Diceros bicornis minor: one gene and its partner. The protein of the gene in region 2 interacts with the protein of the main gene of each other region in a biochemical or structural test. Links are inferred from orthologs where the notes say so. Each region holds a gene or a part of one and is shown on either strand. Other genes may lie near its edges. The genes, in order: ZEB1 and USP51.

The links.
Region 1: the proteins of USP51 (region 2) and ZEB1 form a complex in vitro, tested with the Homo sapiens proteins (2 studies listed by BioGRID). The link is inferred for Diceros bicornis minor from reciprocal best matches to the Homo sapiens genes USP51 and ZEB1.

Annotation. Positions count from the first base shown.
Region 1 is NC_080775.1:29,629,945-29,639,465, reverse strand, and holds the start of ZEB1 (zinc finger E-box-binding homeobox 1), read right to left. Parts: upstream 3,957-9,521; coding exon 3,899-3,956; intron 3,677-3,898; exon of another isoform or gene 3,551-3,676; intron 1-3,550. UniProt on the Homo sapiens protein: Acts as a transcriptional repressor. Inhibits interleukin-2 (IL-2) gene expression. Enhances or represses the promoter activity of the ATP1A1 gene depending on the quantity of cDNA and on the cell type.
Region 2 is NC_080781.1:47,391,473-47,400,803, forward strand, and holds USP51 (ubiquitin carboxyl-terminal hydrolase 51), read right to left. Parts: upstream 3,256-9,331; coding exon 1,138-3,255; 3' UTR 1,085-1,137; downstream 1-1,084.

The DNA of each region.
Region 1 (9,521 bases), on a different chromosome or scaffold from region 2:
AACAAATGTGGGCGAATCATTATACATTCTTCTCCAAACCTAACAATATAAAACAAAACTTGTTGTTAAAAAGCCATAATACAACTTGTCTAAAGCAAAACTAAATTGACAGCAATCTCAATGTCAAGATTTAAAAAGCCCAAATTTATAAAATCGTTCAAGTTAAAACATCCCTATTTTTTTCCAGCCTTAGCACACTAGAAAATTCTTAAGCTTAATTTGCCCAGGGCTAGTTTTAAATAACAGTAAGACTCAGAATTATACCGAAGGTCCCTATCAACGCAGAGGTCCCAATCAACAGGAGATAGAGAGACTTATGGTACTACTACACCAATAATCATTTTTGTTAGCATCCTCTACTGGTGGTTTCCAAAGACAGCAAGTGTAAATGGTGCAAACGACAGAAAGATAAGTACCTGCTATTCCATCTAAAGTGAATTAATCAGCATGTGGTCATTAGTACATAGAGTACATTTCTCCAAAAAAAAAAAAAAAAGTAATAATAAGAAAACCACACAGGGAGAAGTGGAAAATGAGAAGACAGATTTTTAAAATACAACAAAGCATTACATTATAAGTGGTAAAAATTGATTTAAGCAATTCAAATGCCACTCCTTTATAGATGACTAACATCATTACCATAAAGTTACATATCAGTGGTTTACCCCTGTCAAGTTACATTACTTGATTCTCCCATTAAAACCCTACTCAGCAGATATATTCCAGAAAGGAAATTAAAATATTTTACTGGAGGCTTAGCAGTAAAATCTGCATACCTTATTTTAAAATGAACAAAAAATGATTTACATATAAATAACTGCATTAAGTATCTCTATGACTATCTCTCACTGTACACATCACTTATTCCTTCATTAAAAAGATTTGAGTTAACATTTTTCCAAGTAATTCTCTCCAAAAAACAACTGCAACATAAACATGATCGCGTTGCTAAGACATATTAACCAGAATCTATCCTGAGGTTTCACAACACAATGGCATATAACTTCATTTTTAATTTGCAAATTATAAGGCTTAATCAAGTAGCATGGCTGTAATCAACAGCGATGGATGAAATGCATTTGAGAACAAAAAGAAATACTAAGACAGAGCCAAAAGTGATGAAAATGGAAGATACCTGTGGTAGTACAGTGCTATCTTAAACACCTTTTGTTTTCTGAGAGTAATGCATACTGCAGACAAGACATTTTGTGCTAAACGGCCCCAAATCTGTTTTTCTAATATTAAACACAAAGGAAAAACACTGACAGCAAGCATGGTAAATAATCCCTCCCTTGAGAATGAAAGCAGCAGACAGGAGTGGGCTGACATACATGCAGGAGAAAACTAAACACCATCTTTTTTCTACCTGCACAAGTTGCCATTTGCTGCAGCGATCGAGAACCTCTTTTTCCTGTTGATTTCAAGTACCTTTCAGGATAGCTTTTTTTCCCTTAAGTCATCTGTTGATATGCCTTATGAGTATAATATTCATATCACAGGATCTTTAGGAGAAAAATCCATTCTTTCCTGTTCAGGTAAACATGTTTACAGCAGCTGCACAGACGCTGGGTGGTTCAGACTCACATGTCACACACATGTCGTCAGCAACAAGAAAAGCCCCTTTCTCTGGCGATGAACATTTTAAATAAGGTAGAGCGAACAGCCCTTTCCGAACCAACTTACCTTTCATAAAGCCACATCAGCAACAGCGGCAACAGCTCAATATAGGACACACTATTTGACGCTAAAACAGGAAATTAAAATTGCAATCGCCTATGCTTCGCTCCTTGCTGTAACAAGTCATCTCTCCACAATGAGGATACCAAATATTAGTTATCAGTCATAACTAACAGACGTCTTTAAAATGAAAACGTTTATTTGAATATCTAAAATCACTCATGAAAGCAGTGATTTTAATGTCGGCTCAAATATATTAAAAATATGTTTACGATTGGAAGGAAACATCTTGAAACAGCTTTAAATCTTCGTATCTGCTTCTCGACAGGAAATCCCACACAAAATCTAAAATTGCCAGGAAAGGTTACAAAACCTCGCGTTTCGCATCCCAGAGGGGAGGGAGAATGGATCCCGAGAGCGGGGGGTGGGGCGGGGGGAGCGCGCGCGAGTTTTCACTTAAACACGTATTTCCTCATTTTCTGGAAGATACAGCGATCCCATTAGAGGCGCATTTATTGCCCTACTCTTAAAAACTCGTTTTTAAAATAACGCAGGAACGCAAAGGAGCCCCTCGGTCCGAAATGTACGTGTAATTCCTTATATAGCCTGGCTGCAGCCAGCGCAGGCCGTTGCCGCCCATTATTATACAAACAGGTACCCGGCCGGCGCGGGCGGGGTCCTCTCCCCGCGCTCCCGCCGCCCCCGGGCGGAGAAGTCTCGCCCCTCTCGCCACAGGAACTGTCCAGACAATAACAATCAGCAGACATTTCGCTGCTGAACCAGAGGGAGAGAAAGCACAGACTCGCCCCCGAGATAAGCAGAAATACAATCAACTTACACCGTCTCTCCAAACTGGAAAAGGCGACTGTGCAACAACAACCACATGTTCGGGTCCTGCTCTCTCGCGCTCTCTCCCTCTCCCTCCGTTTCTCTCTCTCGTGTTTTGCTTTTTTTAACTCTCACGCCAGGCAGAGGGGTGTGTGTGTCCCCGGCACCTCAGCACAAATCAATAAGCACTGCAGCTGCAGCGCGAGCAGCGGACCCGCGCGTCCGTCGGTCCGTCCGCCCCCTCCCCCACCCTCCTTCCACCCGAGACCGAGAGCGCCATCCAAGCTCCATTATCCGGCTTCAGCGCTCCGAGCGTCCGGCCCAGGTAACAACTTCCCCAAAAACCGAAAGAGAAAAAAGAGAGGCGTAGGTGCAGGACCCCATCCCGGCGCGGAGGAGTCTTCCCGGGAAGGGGGGATCTGTCTGTGGTGCTTTCCCGTCTGAGCCCAGGTAACTCCGCGCACACACCCGCTGCCCGGCTCGCCGCCATCCACACGTCCCCCAGCAAGGAGGTGCCCGCTCCCGCCCGCCGGCTCCCGCACCACCGGGTCCTCCCGCGCGGGGCTCGCCTCGGCGCCCCCAGGCCGGGGGCCCGGAGCTCGATGGCCCGAGGCGCGGGGAGGAGGGGCGCTGAGGGACCCGCGCCTCCGCGCCGCTAATGCCCACTCCGCGAGCGCGCCTCGCCAGCCGGTCCCAACTTTACCGCCGCCGGCCGAGCCCGGGCCGCCCGCCGCGCGCGCGGCGCACACGCGCGCACGGACGACACGCAGCCCACGGCCGCCGCGTCCCGCCCGCCGCGCGCTCGCAGCCCGGCCCGGCCCGCCCGCCCGTTCGGCCGAGCCGCGGGGCCCGGGCGGCGGTGCCGGCCGGGGCGGCGGCGCGCGGAAGCCACTTTGCACGGTCAGCGCCGGGCACAAGTTCGTTCCGCGGCTCCCGGGGGCCTCGGCGCCCAGGGAGCCGAACGCGGAGGGGCCGGGAGGCGGGGGAGAGGGGAGGCGCCGAGGGGCGAAAGAGTGGGGAAAAGTGCGAGAAGAAGCAACAGCCGCTCCCCCGAGCCCAGAAAAGTGGCCGGCCGCGTCCGGGCCGCCCGCCCTGCGCCGGGATGCGGCGGCGGCTAACGGTCCAGGGAGGCGGCAGGGGCGGCAGGAGCCGCTAGGCGGAGAGAGACCAGGTAAGAGACATAACGGTTCAGGGAGAGCGAGCGGCCGCGGCGCGGCTCCGGCTGCGGCGGCAGCGGAGGGGGGCAGAGAGCACTACTTTCTACTTTCCCACTCCACTTTGCCCGTCCCTGCCCCGGCCGCCCCCAGCCCAGCTCGCCCCCCTTACCCCCGGGGCGCCCCGGCTGCCCGGCTCCCCCTGACTCCGCCGCTCCCCGGTCCCCTCCGCCACTCACCGTTATTGCGCCGCGGGTTCGCCTGCTTTCTGCGCTTACACCTGGGGCCATCCGCCATGATCCTCTCGCTTGTGTCTAAATGCTCGAGTCACCTCCTCCCCCTCCCTCCCCCTTCCCCCCCACCCCTCCGCCTCCACCCCTCCCCCCTCCCCACCGCACCTGGTTTACGACACTCGCGGCTTTACGACATCACCTTCCTTACACCTAGAGCCGCTCGCTCTACGGCCGGAACCTTGTTGCTAGGGAGAGGACGGTTTGCGGCAACCGTAGGAGCCGCTGAGTTTGAATCGGGGGGAGAGGGAAAAGTTTCCCTCAGGTGTCGGGGGACGGGGGAGGGGGCGTTAGGAGACTGTGGGGACGTGGCCAGAAGGGCGACAGGCCGGCGGAGTGAGAAAGGTAAAGTGGGAGGCTGCGTGGCGATCCGCCTCTGAACTGGCCACGCCCGCCGCGGCCGCCTGGGGCGCGTATGGGTCTGGCTCCTGCTGGGGACCCTGTGCCCTCAGAGCTGCGCCTCCGAGAGACGGAGCCACCTGCCCTCCCTCGTCCCCGAGGTGGGGCTCCCCCCCACGCATCGTTTGTCCGCTCGGCGCGCCCCCGGGCCCGGGAGAGGGTCGTGCCTGGCTCCCCGGGGAGTCCCGGAATCAGAGGCACGGCGAGGGGCGGCTTTGGGAAGCCCGGCCTCTGACGGCGAGGACGCGCGCGTCGCGAGAGCGCTACTTGACTCCCTCCCTTCCACGGACGCGCGGGTTTCCCCCGAGCGACCCGGGCTAGAGAGTGATTTCAATTAGGTAGAACTTAAGCTGGACCCAGAGAGAGACGACAAGTTCCGCTTGCAAGCCGCCTGGGCGGTAAGCGGAATGAGTAATACCCACGCTGTCCCTGTCTCACTTCCTCATGCGCGGGCCCTCACCTGCTGTCACCTCGGCCTCCGCCGCCCCGCCCTCCTCCCCGCTGTCCCCTTAGAGTAGGCTGTAGGCGTCAAGACTTAGAGTGAAGGTATCGACAGGCCACGATTTACCACCTAAATGGGCAGTTACCGCCCTATGGGACCTTAAGGCACGAAACAGCGGCCGCACGTGTGGCCTTTGAGACTGTTAGATTGCTGATCCTATCTCGAGTCCCTGACTTTGTACAAGTTTGGGGATTTCTGAAAGACCGCGTAGATAACACCACAAATACCAAGAAAGTCGTCTTCAGTATTCAGTAGGACTTAGCTTTCCGCTCCTTCCCCCCTCCCCCATTCAAGTGAGGGAATGTCTTTGGGACCAACTTTATGGAATAAATGAGCTGAGCTGTATTTCAGATAATATAGTTATGAATTAACTATGTAAGAATTATTGATAGAGAAATTGAGGAAACTGAAACATGACATAGACTATTAGAAGTAACATAGTAAGTCGCCCAGCACAGTGCTCTCACATAGTAGGTCTTCGATAAATTTATGCCTATAATTTTTGTTATACCTATGGCAGGATTCTTTATTATGTTAAAATAGTCTTTTGAACACCCTCCAGAATTTTAGAAGATGCATTAATAATCTCCTCAAACCTTTCAACTGAAATAAATTTACAGCTGAAGTCTGGTAATTTAAAATTAGAAAGTTTAATCCTGAATATAGATGAAAATTTTCTCTCCCACGTTGGCTTTGGCATTTGAGAAGTGAATGCGTTATTTATTGGTGCATGAAATGTGACTGTAAATATTCTGTGCTATACATTATGTCTGTATATCTACTCTCCTCAGTGCCAAGACTAGAATCATTATTTCTACTGATCATTTTAAGTACAGGCAGTCCTCACTTTTCTCAATACCATGTTGACTGAACTTGTGCATGTCAGAACCAGAACCTTGTCCAGGCTTTGCTTGGTTCACGTTTTTTTTCCTACCCTCTTAAGAGCTGTATCATGTTCTTCAGTTGCCTTCTGATTCAGGTTATAGACTTTGTCTTTTGCTAGCAGCGCCCCCCTCCCTCCCCGCCCCCCCCACAAGTAACTTTTTTATAGCTACCCTAATTTCCAATCAGAAAGGAAAAAAAAAATACTTTCTAACTGTAGCACACGAAGTATCCTACATGCCATTTTCTCTTTCTGAAGTGCCTGTCCTGTACCTCCCTACTAGCTTTCTTCAGTGTTCATCCTCACCTTGAAATCCAAGAGAGAAAGTGAAGGGATAAGCCAAGTAGAAGTCATTTTCTGCCTTACTTTAGTGGTTACTAGTTTAGTTAGCTTGGGCCAGACTTTATTTAACTGTGTGGACAGATACAGTGTTTTTTTGGTTTTTGTTTTTTTTTTTTTGCTTGTTCATTTCTGTGCCCTCATCACTTAGCAGAGTACCTAGTCACATAGTAGATGCTCAGTAAGTAAATATTTATTAAATCAATCAATATTGTTGACCTTTCCTGAATGTTTTTGGCTATAAAGTAAGGGTTGTTTATCTGCTTTCATCACATTAGTTCTAAGGAGCAGTTGAAATGGTGGATGTAAAAGCTGTTTACTGTCATTTATATCCTGCATTATTTTGAGGTTAATTGCTCTTCGTTTTAGATAGTCCATAATCATTTTCCCCAAACGATTACCTCTGCTCACTCCTATTTTTAAAATATGCACAGGAAATATTATTCATATCCCAAATCTAATACAAATTTTTAATTTTGTAAACCTGTAATAATTACATATGTTATAAATTGAATATTTGATTAATACACTTTTTTTGCTGTAATGTTTCCAAAATTATTGAAATCTAGACTGGAAAGAAAGCAGACAAAAGTAAATCTCAGAATAAATCGTTGTTGTAAACCTGATGCATATTGTAATGGTTGCTTCTTACACCTCTTAAATATAACTAAAGAAGTGGAAAAAATCTTGAGTAAATTTAAAAAAGGAATAAATTTATTAAAATTTAGACTTATTTAAATAAAAGATGGTGGGGATACTAATAAGAGTTTAACATGTGTCCTGTATTGTTGGTTTTTAGTAATTGTGGTGCCGTCACACGTTTTCAATGTATACTCCTATTTTTGACGTCAATGAAATGTTAACACTGTGCTTCTAGCGAGCACTGGGATTGCATATGCTGAAAGGGAGGTATTCTGCTAAAAATGAATTACTATAATCTTTTCTAAATTTACAGGGAAAAATGTAAATGGATAGAATATTTTCAATATTAAGTTTTTTCCTATAAATTTTTCATGAACCCTTTGCACCTATTTGCTTTCCATAGAAGATTTATGTATTAGGATAAAATTTGACATAAAATCATTTTAAGTTTAAAATGTAGGTGTTTCATGGTGTTCCACATCGAGCATGTGATTTCCATGTACCTTACTTCCTGAACACATTTGAGAAGTATAACTTATTTATAATATGATTCTGTAATCTTCATCAAAATAAAAAGTTGATTATTTTCATGGAAGGATAACGTATTAATTAATTAAATTAATGACATTAACGTGTAATCTTAATCTTAGAGCTTTGAAGGAAAAAAAATTTGATAGATGTTATCCATCAAATTTAGAATCCCCTGAAGTTGCTCCTCAGTCTTTGGCTCAAGAGTAACTCTGGATATGTGGTTCACAATGACACAAAAGAGAGCAGTGGTCGTTTCACTGCCTGCAATTTCACCAGATTCTACAGTCCCTGAGTCAAGAAGGAACCATGACTAGGGGGTGATGTAGAACCAACAGTCTTTAGGACCCACATCAGCTTTTCTAATTAAGCCTCCCGGGAGGTAATAGGGACAGATGTTTTCTGCAAACCTCCGTGTGGTTTTATTATATATTGCACTACAAAATGGTTTTACCCCTGCTGGAGAATAAGACTCCTATTTTTAATATGTCAATAAAGTGTTAACACATGGAGCTTCTTATTTGGGGGGCAACTTTTAGGAACATGTCTAATATAGCGAGATGTAAGTATAAATAAATGTAGAGAGAGAGATTTGAAGGATATTAATGAACATCCAAAAGTTTGTTGTTAGTGCTGTGGAGTGGATTCCAACTCTTAGCACCCCTGTGGACAACAGAGCAGAACCCTGCCTGGTCTTTCTGCTCCATCCTCTCACCTTCTGGTGCTGTATCAGACAAGGCTCCACTGCTCTTCACAGGGTTTTCATGGCCAGTGTTTTCGGAAGTGGGTAACCAGGTCCTTCTTCCTAGTCTCTTAGTCTGGAAGCTCCACTGAAACCTGTCCACCATGGGTGACCCTGCTGGTATTTGAAATAACGGTGGCATAGCTCACAGCATCACAGCAACACACAGCCGCCACAGTAGTACAGCCGGCAGACAGACACATGGTGTGGTTCCCTGGCCAGGAAAGGAACCTGGGCCACAGCGGTGAGAATGCTGACTCGTAACCACTAGACGACCAGGGCTGGCACCCAAAATGTAAAACTGATCTTTTCCATAAAATCACAATAATTAAGACATTGCTTTCAAAGGCTAGCTCCACAGAAGATAGATTATAGTTTCTAATATTGATATCACTTATGAACATGATTAGAATTTTTTCTGTACTTAACTATAGGTAGGTAATTTGTACTAGAGAGCGCAACATACATATTTTGGATTTGAGTGAATTTTAAGTATCTACAGTGATATCAGGCGTCTGATATCTGGTTTCTGCTGCTGGTTTTCCCTCTTGCCTCCGCGTATTTCTTTTCTCTGCCATCTTGACGACTTTGAGCAGCTGACTGATTCTGTTACAGTGTGGCTGGCATCTTTGACCTACAGCCCTGGCCTTCTATATTCCATGGATCCTCAGTTACAATCATTGCTACTGTTCAATCCTTGGACTATGTGTATTTGGAATATTTGCAGTCAATAACAGGTTTTACATGTCCTGCCATTGTGTTAAACTCACAAGAAAAAGTCAGCAATAGGAGATACTCTGTGTTTAAATATACCCACAACTTTAAGATCCCTGGTCAGACCCTTCTCATCCTTTCATCTTGTGCCTCTATTTCTTTACTCACTCTCCTTATCATACTTACATAAATAGATCACACACTGTGCCCCTCTCTACTGTTTTGCTTTTTAATCATTCTTTCCTCTGTCTGTCTTTGTCCCAGATCTGACACAGCTCTGTTCAGGTCAATTCCTTTTCTCTTTTGGTTCAAGGTTTTTTGAATCATTCCAACTCTGTAAAATGCTTTGCTTTTTCATATTTTGCTGGTTATTCTCTGTCCCTCAAAGTCCATTCTCTGCCTTTCCATGCTCTGAGAGGCTGATTTCTGTGGACCACATCACCCAGGCTCCTTTGCCCTGGTGTCTGTTTGGTTTCAGCCAATTTGGAGGCATTGGCAAATGATCAGAGGAAAGGAAGAGAGAGAGGTCAGGATATTTATTTCACCTTCCCCCGCACTCCCTCCTGCCTGTCTGTGGCTTTTGGCAGTAGCTTCATTCCTCTACCTAAGGCCATGTCTCTGGTCAGACAACTCTGACCCATGGCTATAGGTCTTGGCAAGTTCTAGAAATTGCTTCTTCCCTGTGTCCCTTTAGGCCTAGGAATGGTAATGATTTCCTCCTGTTGCAAGTCCTTGGGTACTTTATCTCTTACTGGTTCCCTTAAGCCTGCCCACATCTCTGTAAACAGTCTCTTCATCAGACTCTTCAATTTATCCTTTGAGT
Region 2 (9,331 bases):
GGTTTAAATTTTTTTATCCTTTTTGTTTAAATAGTTTTTATTTAAATTTCTCAAATTGAACTTGTCTAAGGTTCTTTATATATTTTAAGATTCTCTATTTTCTCTAATTTTTCCTTTTTAAATTTAAAATTTTTAAACAAATTTTGTCTTTTTGTCTTGAATTGTTCTAAATTTTTCTCTAAACTTAAATTTGAATTTTCATTACATTCTGTATTTTTTGAAAATTTATTTCTCAATCATTAAACTATTCACGAATTTTGTTAACCTTTGATTTTTCAACACATATTTTAGGCAAGATTTATTTATATTAACATTTTATTTCATTTAAACTTTTAATTTTAAGAGTTTCCTTTTTTCTTTTAACTTCTTAATTTTAAAACTGTTTCACTTTTTTAACTTTCATTTATAATTTTTTTCTTGTTTTATTCACCTTTTTTAAACTAAGACTTTCCAAAATTTGTTTTTAAGCCTTATTTTAATAATTTTGAAGTTTTAAAAAACTCCTTGTAATTTTTGAAACATTTGTTTTAAAAATATTTAACTTAAAATTTTTTAAACATTTAAAAATTTTTTCTTTGAAAATTTTTAAAAAATGTTTTTTGCTTTATAAATGTTTTTCTTTTAAAGCTTTTTAAAATATCCTCTTTTTTTTTTCAAACTATTTGGTCAGCCACAGCTAGAACACCAACTGTGAAGCTTTTTGCTGATGAAGGAATACTCCCCGACCTCCCACAGTATTTGTGTAGAAACAAATGACATATAGTAGTGCCAGAACATCTCTAGTCCCACTCTCCCCACCTAAAGCATTCTTTTCACTTAATTATGTATGCTTTATGTGACCATTTTCAACCTCTTTTACCTCCTCCCATTTATTAAGGCTGAATGGTCACTAGTCAGTATTCTTTTCCCTCTTACAGACCCATAAGCCATGGTAAAATAAGTTCTTTATAACAAGGTGCTAATTGTCATATAGATGCTGTTATCATTGTCCATTTCAGACAGGTTTTTGTGTTTTTCAAGAGGTGCTGGTTGTTGTATGGGTACTGTCATTGTCCATTCCAGGTAGGTGTGTGTGTCACTTCAGGATCCTTGCCTATTCATTTCTTTTACTTTTTTTTGGTAAGTGGTCTGATAAGACTAGTCTTTCTCTAGACCCTGTTTGTGATAGAATAGTAAATATCCTTCACTGTAGAGTAAGTCCTCAATGGTAGCCTTGGTGATGACAGCATCATCACAGCTGAACCACTGGTCCTTTTGTTGCCGGATAAAGCTGGTGTAGTGTCCACTTTCCAAAGTTCCATGGTGATTAATCACTGCAAACAAAGAATACTTATTCTTCTTGGGTGCACAATCTGTTGGTGGCTGGCCTTCTTCCATTCTGTTCTCTTTAGTGGAGGCCAAAAATGGAGTCATGTCCAGGTCCAAGGGAAAGGAGATAAAAGTATTAATCTTTTGCCTCTGTTTGCCAACATGTTCAAACCGCTTGAGATGAAAACAGGCCACAATGGGTAATTTCTTCATTGTGAGTTGTTTGGTAGATTCCTGGTAGCTTTGGCAACTACTGCATTTGATTTTGGCACTCCTTCCGAGGTGTTCTGGCCTTGTAAACCACTGTAGGCAGTCTGTTAGTGAGGGGATTCCTGGTATGTGGTCATCCCTACTCACTGTGCTGTCATTCCTTTCTGGACTCTGGGAACGGAACGTGGCACAAGAGCCAGGCAAATCCAAACTGATGTCCCAGCATGGGTCTATTGTGGCGGAGACACTATGGCAAGCTTGACATGTGACATCTGACTGCAAGCCACCTGTAAAGATTTGGTCTATGATGCAGTTACAGCAGTTGGGGTTATTGGCCTCCTGCCCAACACTATCATCTTTGCTGTGTCTATGCAGCACATCTAATATTGCAATAAGGAACTCGTGGGCATCCTGCTGCCTGTACCCTGCTAAGTGTTCTGCATGAATCCATATCAGGTGCAGCAATTTATAGGGAATGTGAGGAGTTCGGCTCCCAGAGTACATAGCATGAAAAAGCGAAGACATTTCACAGACAAGACACAAGCTGGGGCTTGTCATTATACATTTGTGCTTGTCAGAGAGGAAGAAATCTTTCAGTAGAGGAATATGGGTAAGTGCCTGGACAATACAATTCATAAAGCAAGTGTTCCCAAGATTGATCAGCCCTCTCAGGCCTACAGTATAGACTGACATTTTTCTCCTCTTTTTCTTGGGTTTCACCAGTTTTGGCTCCTGTTCCTTTGATTCACAGGTTGATTGCTTCTCTTCAACACCTGATGTCATACACTGTTGTTGAGAAAAATCTGTTGAGGTGGAAATTAATAATTTCAAAATTTTCTCTTTCGTTTCTTTGGCAATCTGTTCTATGTCTTTGTCACATATGTAATCCTTACACATGAAGCAATATACAACTCCATGATAGAGGTCTACAGCTAAATTGTGCTGTTTTGTTTCCGCATGTTTGTGAATATGTTTCTCGGTAAAGCAGCCAAAAAAGACACAGGTGAGACAAGAGTGGAGTCTGTTCATATGGGTACTACACACATGACAGATGCACGACTTTGCCTTATGTTTCCTAGTCTCTGGGGTCCCACTCCAAACAAAACGCTGGTAGATCAACCGCAGGTTCTTCTTCCAGTTCTTAACTACTTTAAAGCTCTCCACATGAGAGCAGCCTGTGGGACCCTGATCAAACTCCAACTCCAGCAACCAGTCCCCTAAGCCACCTCGATCCCCAGAGCCGCCCAGGTCACCAGAACAGCTTCGCCATGTCTGGGGCCTGGACCCTGGCCGAGATCTACGCCGAGATCTGCGCCAGCGACGGGGCAGGGGCAGAGATAGAGGGAAAGGACCGGCTGGAGGCAGGGGTAGGGCCGAAGGCCCGGGGGGGCCTCGGGAGCGGGCAGGGGGCTGGGGCCGAGGGCGAGGCTTGCGGCGCGGGCAAAGGGATGAGCAGCTGCTCTGACAGCGAGGGGGAGTAGAAGGGAGCACCTTCTCGTCGCCGCCGCTGCCACTCCATGTCAAGTTCTCCTCAGGCGCGGGCTTACGCTCTTGTAGTGGCTCCAGCTTCATCTCCTCAGCTCCCTGGCCTGAACACACCTTCGCCGCCCCCACTGCCTCCTCCTCCGTGTCCCCAGCCTTCTCCACCGCCTCCTCGGGCGATGCTCCTCCCCCACCTCCGGAGCTCCAGCAGACCCAAGAGCTGGAGGGCAAGGAAGCTTCTTGAACTTGGGCCATCAGCTCACCGCCTGGCCTAAGGAGAAAGGCGTCTGGAATTGAGCTGCGACTGTAGATGGAATAAGACAAAGATTTCTGTTAAAGATCAGGCCAGCGTCACAGCCCCTTTGCGCCATTAGCGACCCCGAGACCCCTCCCACCAGCCCTTGAGCTCAGCCAGCGGCCTCTGTGGGCTCCACCCCCTCTACTCAGAGGCTCCCGGAGCTGGTGTGGAGATAGAGGCCTTACCTGTTTTAAAGACGATCGGATGGTGACGGGGGCGGGGGGGGGGCGGCTAGACGGACGGAGGAAGGAAAAGTTGTGGACGGGGTACGCTCTGAGCTTTAGGGTGGAAAGAGATGGAATCTTCTTTAAAAAAGGCGCCACCCTCTGACTTTCCTGCACCTTGCGAAGCCTCGCTTTACTACAGCTAGCTTCCTCTGATGTTCTTTCCTTATATCCTAAAAAAACACTTGGGTCAACATTTTACCTTAAAAATGGCTGAAAGGGGGCCACCTATGGAAAATGGGCTGAGGGGAAGAAAATGTCCCCTTGCCTCCATGCTTATGGGGCTGGGTATGTTCCACCCTTTGCCCCTATCTCCAAGCACACTGTCTTTTGGTCAGCCACGCTCTTGCACCCTCAACGCTCTTTCGTGCTTGTGTTCCCTCTCACACCTGGTTTCTTGCTTCAGCGCCCTCATTCCCTATAATTACTCCTAGAATTCGGACTCCTTCTCACGCCCACCACGCGTTCGGCGCCCCCATCTCCAGTGCCCGACCGCCGAAGTCTCTGCTCCTTCCCGCCCCCGGCTCCGCAACGCCCCCAGCCCTTCTGTTTGTTTAAAAATCTCTGAGTTAGTTACCTTGGGCCCCGGCGCGTGATACAGAACGTCAGCAGCTGCTGCTCTCCAAGAGCTCCTCAGCCAGCCTTCTCTCCTGACCTCTCCTCAGGGGCGGTCACACGGGGGCCGCCCCCTGCCCCTCCCCTCTGGACATGTGGCCCCCAGTCGCTGCTCTCGTGCCGTGATGAATGGCCCTGCTGTCCCGCGCAAACAAACCTCTTCCTTCCCGAAACTGCTTCTACTGGAGGTATCCACAGCGACAAATTCTAGAGAAAACTCCTGGAATGGAGGTTCTGGCCTGACCTGGCTCCAGGAACAGAACCCAAAGCAGAAAAAAGATTAATTGGAGTGGGGGTGGGAGTGGGGGTGGGGGGTCGCAGAGGTGGCAACTCCCTGGCAGGAATCCCTCAAGGACCCATCAGAGTCTGATCTCTGGGAGGTAAGTGGAGACAGGAATATTATTCTGGAGTGTGGGGAGAGGAAGCATTAGCAAGGGCTCAGGCTCCGATAGGAGAGCCCAGGCACTTGCTAGCTGTGTGAACTCAGATAAAACACCTAACCTCTCTGAGCCTTAGTTGTGTCGTCTGTTAAACAAAAATGGAAATAATAATAATCCTAACCTATTATGAACACTAAATCATACTATATATAAAGTAAAGGATCTTTATGGCAGGTTTTATCTTTCACACCTCTCTTTCTGTGTCCCCACTTTAAATCAGCCTGTGGCAAGATGCCTGATACTTAGAGTAGAGGAAAAGAGAACACTTCTCTCTTTTGAAGCTCTCTCCAAGTTATCGCTCAGTTCACTGGATTATCCCTCCTAAGCAGTTCATGTACATGAGCATGCATTCAACAAATGTACGCGGATCCCTTAACTGTACTACTGTGCTAGGTTGTGCTGTGAGAAACAGTAAAACGATTTATGTTCTCCAGGAGTTTAACCCAGGAGATTTTCCCTTCTCTTTAACAGATCCAGCATCCAAGGCCACAACTCCCATGAAAGCTGCTACCTCCAGGGCTTGTTGCCCTTCCTGTCCAATCCCAAGAATATTCCTGCTCATCAGTGAGGATGTTTAGTGCTACATTTAACCTCTCTGGGGCAGTCATGCACCTCCTTTCTAAACTTCAGGATTAGCATTCAGTTCTCTGAGGCTTGAGAGTAGTATCTTGTAGGTGCCTTCCCAAAATGGATGTCAGTGAGTTTAGGATATCAATGGGATTCCATAATCTGTATGAATTTTCAGAGTGAGCACAGACCAACATGATCTTGGAGAGAAGAACCATCATGACTGTCCTATAGTTCAGAGTGACTATAGGTTGACAGTTTCAAATCAGAGTTAGTCTCCTTCAGAGAAATATGTTTGCAGGAACCTTTGCCCGGGAGACAAGAGAGCAATGCTCTTATGCTTGTCCATCATTATTAGCTGTATTTGTAACCTTAAGCAAGGTACACATCATCTTTACAACTCAGCTCCCCGAGTAAGAAAAGAGCTGGTTTGACCTGTTAGCAGTTCTTACCATAATCTCATGACAACTTAGCAGGAATCCTAATGAGGTTTCCAATTCACAGGTACTTGGCCTCCAAGTCAGCGAATGGCCACGTAGCTGAGTGGAAAGGCCACTGCCGCTCTCATGGTTCTAACTGCCACAACCTCACAGCAGAGAAGGAAGGCTTACTGTTTTCAGGCTAGAATTTTCAGTTTCTCTGCACACAGCTAAGCTCTCGGTATAGGAGCCTTGAGAAAGAGCCTCAAAAGATGGGATGATCTGCTCAAACTGAGGTGCCTTTTGACACATTAGTTTGTCTTCTTCTGGAGTTTTCAAAGGACTTTTAGTAAAAATAATAGTAATAATAACAAGGACAGCAGGATTTGCCAACACTGTAGAACTTGGTCCTGTGTAAACATTAGAGATTTAGAGGTGGAATTTAGATAGATTGCACCAGAGGGTGGAGGAGTACACACACAAGGTGGCAGTGAGGTGGGAGAAGCAGAAATGGAGTCACTAGTGGGTGCCCAGGAGGACTTTGAGGGGAGGCAGCGTCAGAGAGAGGAAATAGCCTACCCTCCTGCTGGTGAGTGGGTGGGTGGCACAGGGGAAGGTGAAGGCCTCTGATGGCCTGAGGGGCAGTCCCTCCTACCTCCCTTGCTTCTTCCCCTCCATCTGAATTACCCATTGTCTTGTGTGTCCTTCCTTTGGCAGAAATCTGGAGTGGGGTAAGGAGAGCTCAGTGGCCCTGGAATTCCCAACAGTACCACCTCTACCTAAAAAACAGCCAGTCATTGCCCCCACATACTCGCCTGCTCCACCCAAACCGAACCTTGTGATTCTGATCCACCTCTTGACAGTAGAGCACTGAGGGCTACAACAGGGAGAAGGGAGCAGGTCCTCAGGATTCCACGATGACTCCGAAGTCACCCCAGAGGTCCTGCCCCAGTTGCATCCCCAGAGTTGTCTTCAGTCTGGACTGATCTGCAAGGATCTGGCCTCCCCCTTGGTTTCCCCCTGCTTTACACCCAGCTCAAATGTTCCCTCTGTCAGGAGGCCTTCTCTGATTCCCCAGATCTGGAGGGGGTCCCTCAGAGCACAGCAGCACTACACAGGCAAGGCTCCGCTGGGCCCAGCCTCTCTAAGGAGAATCCTGTTGGGTTCCTCAGTTTGGACCCTGCCCCAGCCCCTCACCCTCTCCTAACCCTGCCCCTTTGTCAGCAGAGGGAGGGCCGCATGAAGAGACTGCCCACAAAGAAAGAAGGTGTCCTGTGTCAGTGCAGCTGGAAAACATGTCCAAATCTCAATCATGTAGAAGTACCTGGAGGGGAAGCTCTTTGGAGTTGTAGACTAACTTAGAAGGAAAATACTTCCCCCGCCCCAAGTAAGGGCGTTTGCTCAGCCACAGCTAACAAAAGAGTTGCTCATTTCTGGGTTAGCAGACCTAGATGGAAATGCTGACTCAGTCGTTTGCTAGCTGTGTAACTAGGCTGAGGCACAATAATTTATGTTTCTGACAATTTACCAGCTAATGCTGGTGCTGAATGCTGCTGCTGCTGCTATGGGGACCGGACTTTGAGAACCACTGCTGTGGGTTAATGTATAAAGAACCACAGGTCAAGGCCATCTGGCCTTAGTAGCAGGAACCCTTTCTGATGTGGCTGGTTTCCCAGAACTATTTTATTTTGGCTGCTCTTACGGTTTTCTATCTGCAGCAGGTGTTGGGGGTGGTTTGGGATGGAGTGGAACAAGAAAGAGAGGGATCTGGAAGAAGCCTGCATCTGTGCCCCTGGTGCCTCTCAGGACCTTTAAGACAAGACCCCTGCAACCTCACGCAGCATCTTTCTCCCAACCTGGGCCTCTTCTCCTCAATCACCTCACTTCTCTGAGGCCAGCATTCCAAAAGGCAGCCTTGTAGCCATTGCCTGTCCCTGACTAGGTCTGCGGGGAGAGTGCTGTGAACTTGGTTTAGGTCTTCTGGGACCCACGTTGCCTGCCAGCCTCCTGCCCCCTCTCCCGCTGGATCCCTTCTTTTGCTCCCTTTCTTCCCTGTGCCCCAGCTCCTAGCTGGTCTGCCTCCAGCCTTCAGAACAACAGCCTCAGACACCACTGCTATGTGAACTCTCCTGCTCACAGACCCATGGTGACTCCCTGTGGCCTCTTGGTTTTTCAAAACGGAAACTGCCCAACTTACTCCAACTCCCCCCACCCTAAATATGTCCAACCTCATCTTCACTTTCTGCCCTTCATGACTCCAGTGCTTCAACCGCAGAAGCTTCCGTATTGTCCCTGTCTGTGAGATAACATACATGAAAATACCCAGCATGTCAGCCCAGTCCCTTCCCTTCCCTCTGGATTCTCATTTTAAAACATCTCCTAGCAGAGGCATTCTCAAACCTTTGGTGCCATGGGACTCTTGGGCAGCTGGATGTAGCCTGTGGCTTCCTTAAGAGAATAATATTTGTTTTTAATAAATGCATAAAATTAAATGCACAGCATTATAACAAATTTATTAAACTGAAATATGGTTTTGAATTTTTTAAAAAAATACTGTGATTTGATACCATAAGTGCGTCTTTATTAACGCATTAAATAACAGTGTCTAGTGATACCGACATAGCAACTACCATAATTTCAAAGTAGTGATGAGCATAAACAATACTTTGAGAAGTGTGAAACAAATGTAATGTGATATGAAAATCTTTATTGGTGACATTGTCACATGTACTACTAATATTACTGTGGTCTCTTGCCTAGGTTCATAATTGAAGGACATGCTCAATTTAAGGTAGAGGTAGGTAAAAATAAAGACCCTGGTCTTTTCCCCATCCATATGCACAGACCTCTCTGAATTCCATATTCTGACTGCTCTCGCTTCATAATGCCCTGAGCACTTTGTCTGCTTAGTGGGCAAATGTATTACAAACCATTTATTAAGTGCATATTATGAACTCTTCTCTACACCCATTAAAATGTATCCTATCACTTGTAGTGCAAGGTAGGTATCGTTATCCACACCTGACAGTTGTGAAAACAGAGGGATCATTTCACATTGACTGAAGATCACACAGATGAGAATGGGAAGTGCTGGCCCTGGAGCCTTCAGAACTTTTGACACGGTGCTATATTCTGTCTCCTTATCATTTATTTGCTTCAGCTCTTTAGATAGTAGAATGTAAGTGGAGCGTGTGGCTCAGTCTGCTATGTTTCCACACAATTCTGAGTAAATTACCGAGTATTTGTGTGAGGGAGTCAGGAAACCCCCATTCACTGAAGAAGCCAATGGGCTGCATGTACCAGTAGGGGAGGGGTGAGGATGCTGGAGCTATAACTGGAGGATCCCCTCAGGTCTGACTATGCAGAGACTCTGAAAGAGGGGCTTGCCTGGAGGCTCAGCAGAAGGGCATGAATGTGGAGTTGATATTCAGATAGTACACACCAGTAACCATAATTTTTTTTTAGTACTGAAATATCTCCATGCCAGTAAGTGTATATAATAGTACCTGTGAGAAGTTTTAAAGTAATGACATAAATTTTCACACAAATCATTAGATGCCATGCCGACCACTGCTTAAGTGGGCATCCTATTGCGTGCAGTGACATCTGAGAAACATCCACGGCGCTTATTGACTGCAGGTTTGACCTGCCTCATGGTAGCCAGTGCAATTGTGTTTTCCATTTTTTATGAAGTGCTCAATGCTTTAGAACAAGTCACTACTTCATCATTACCTTTAATTTACCTAATTCATTGGTTTTTATGTTGAT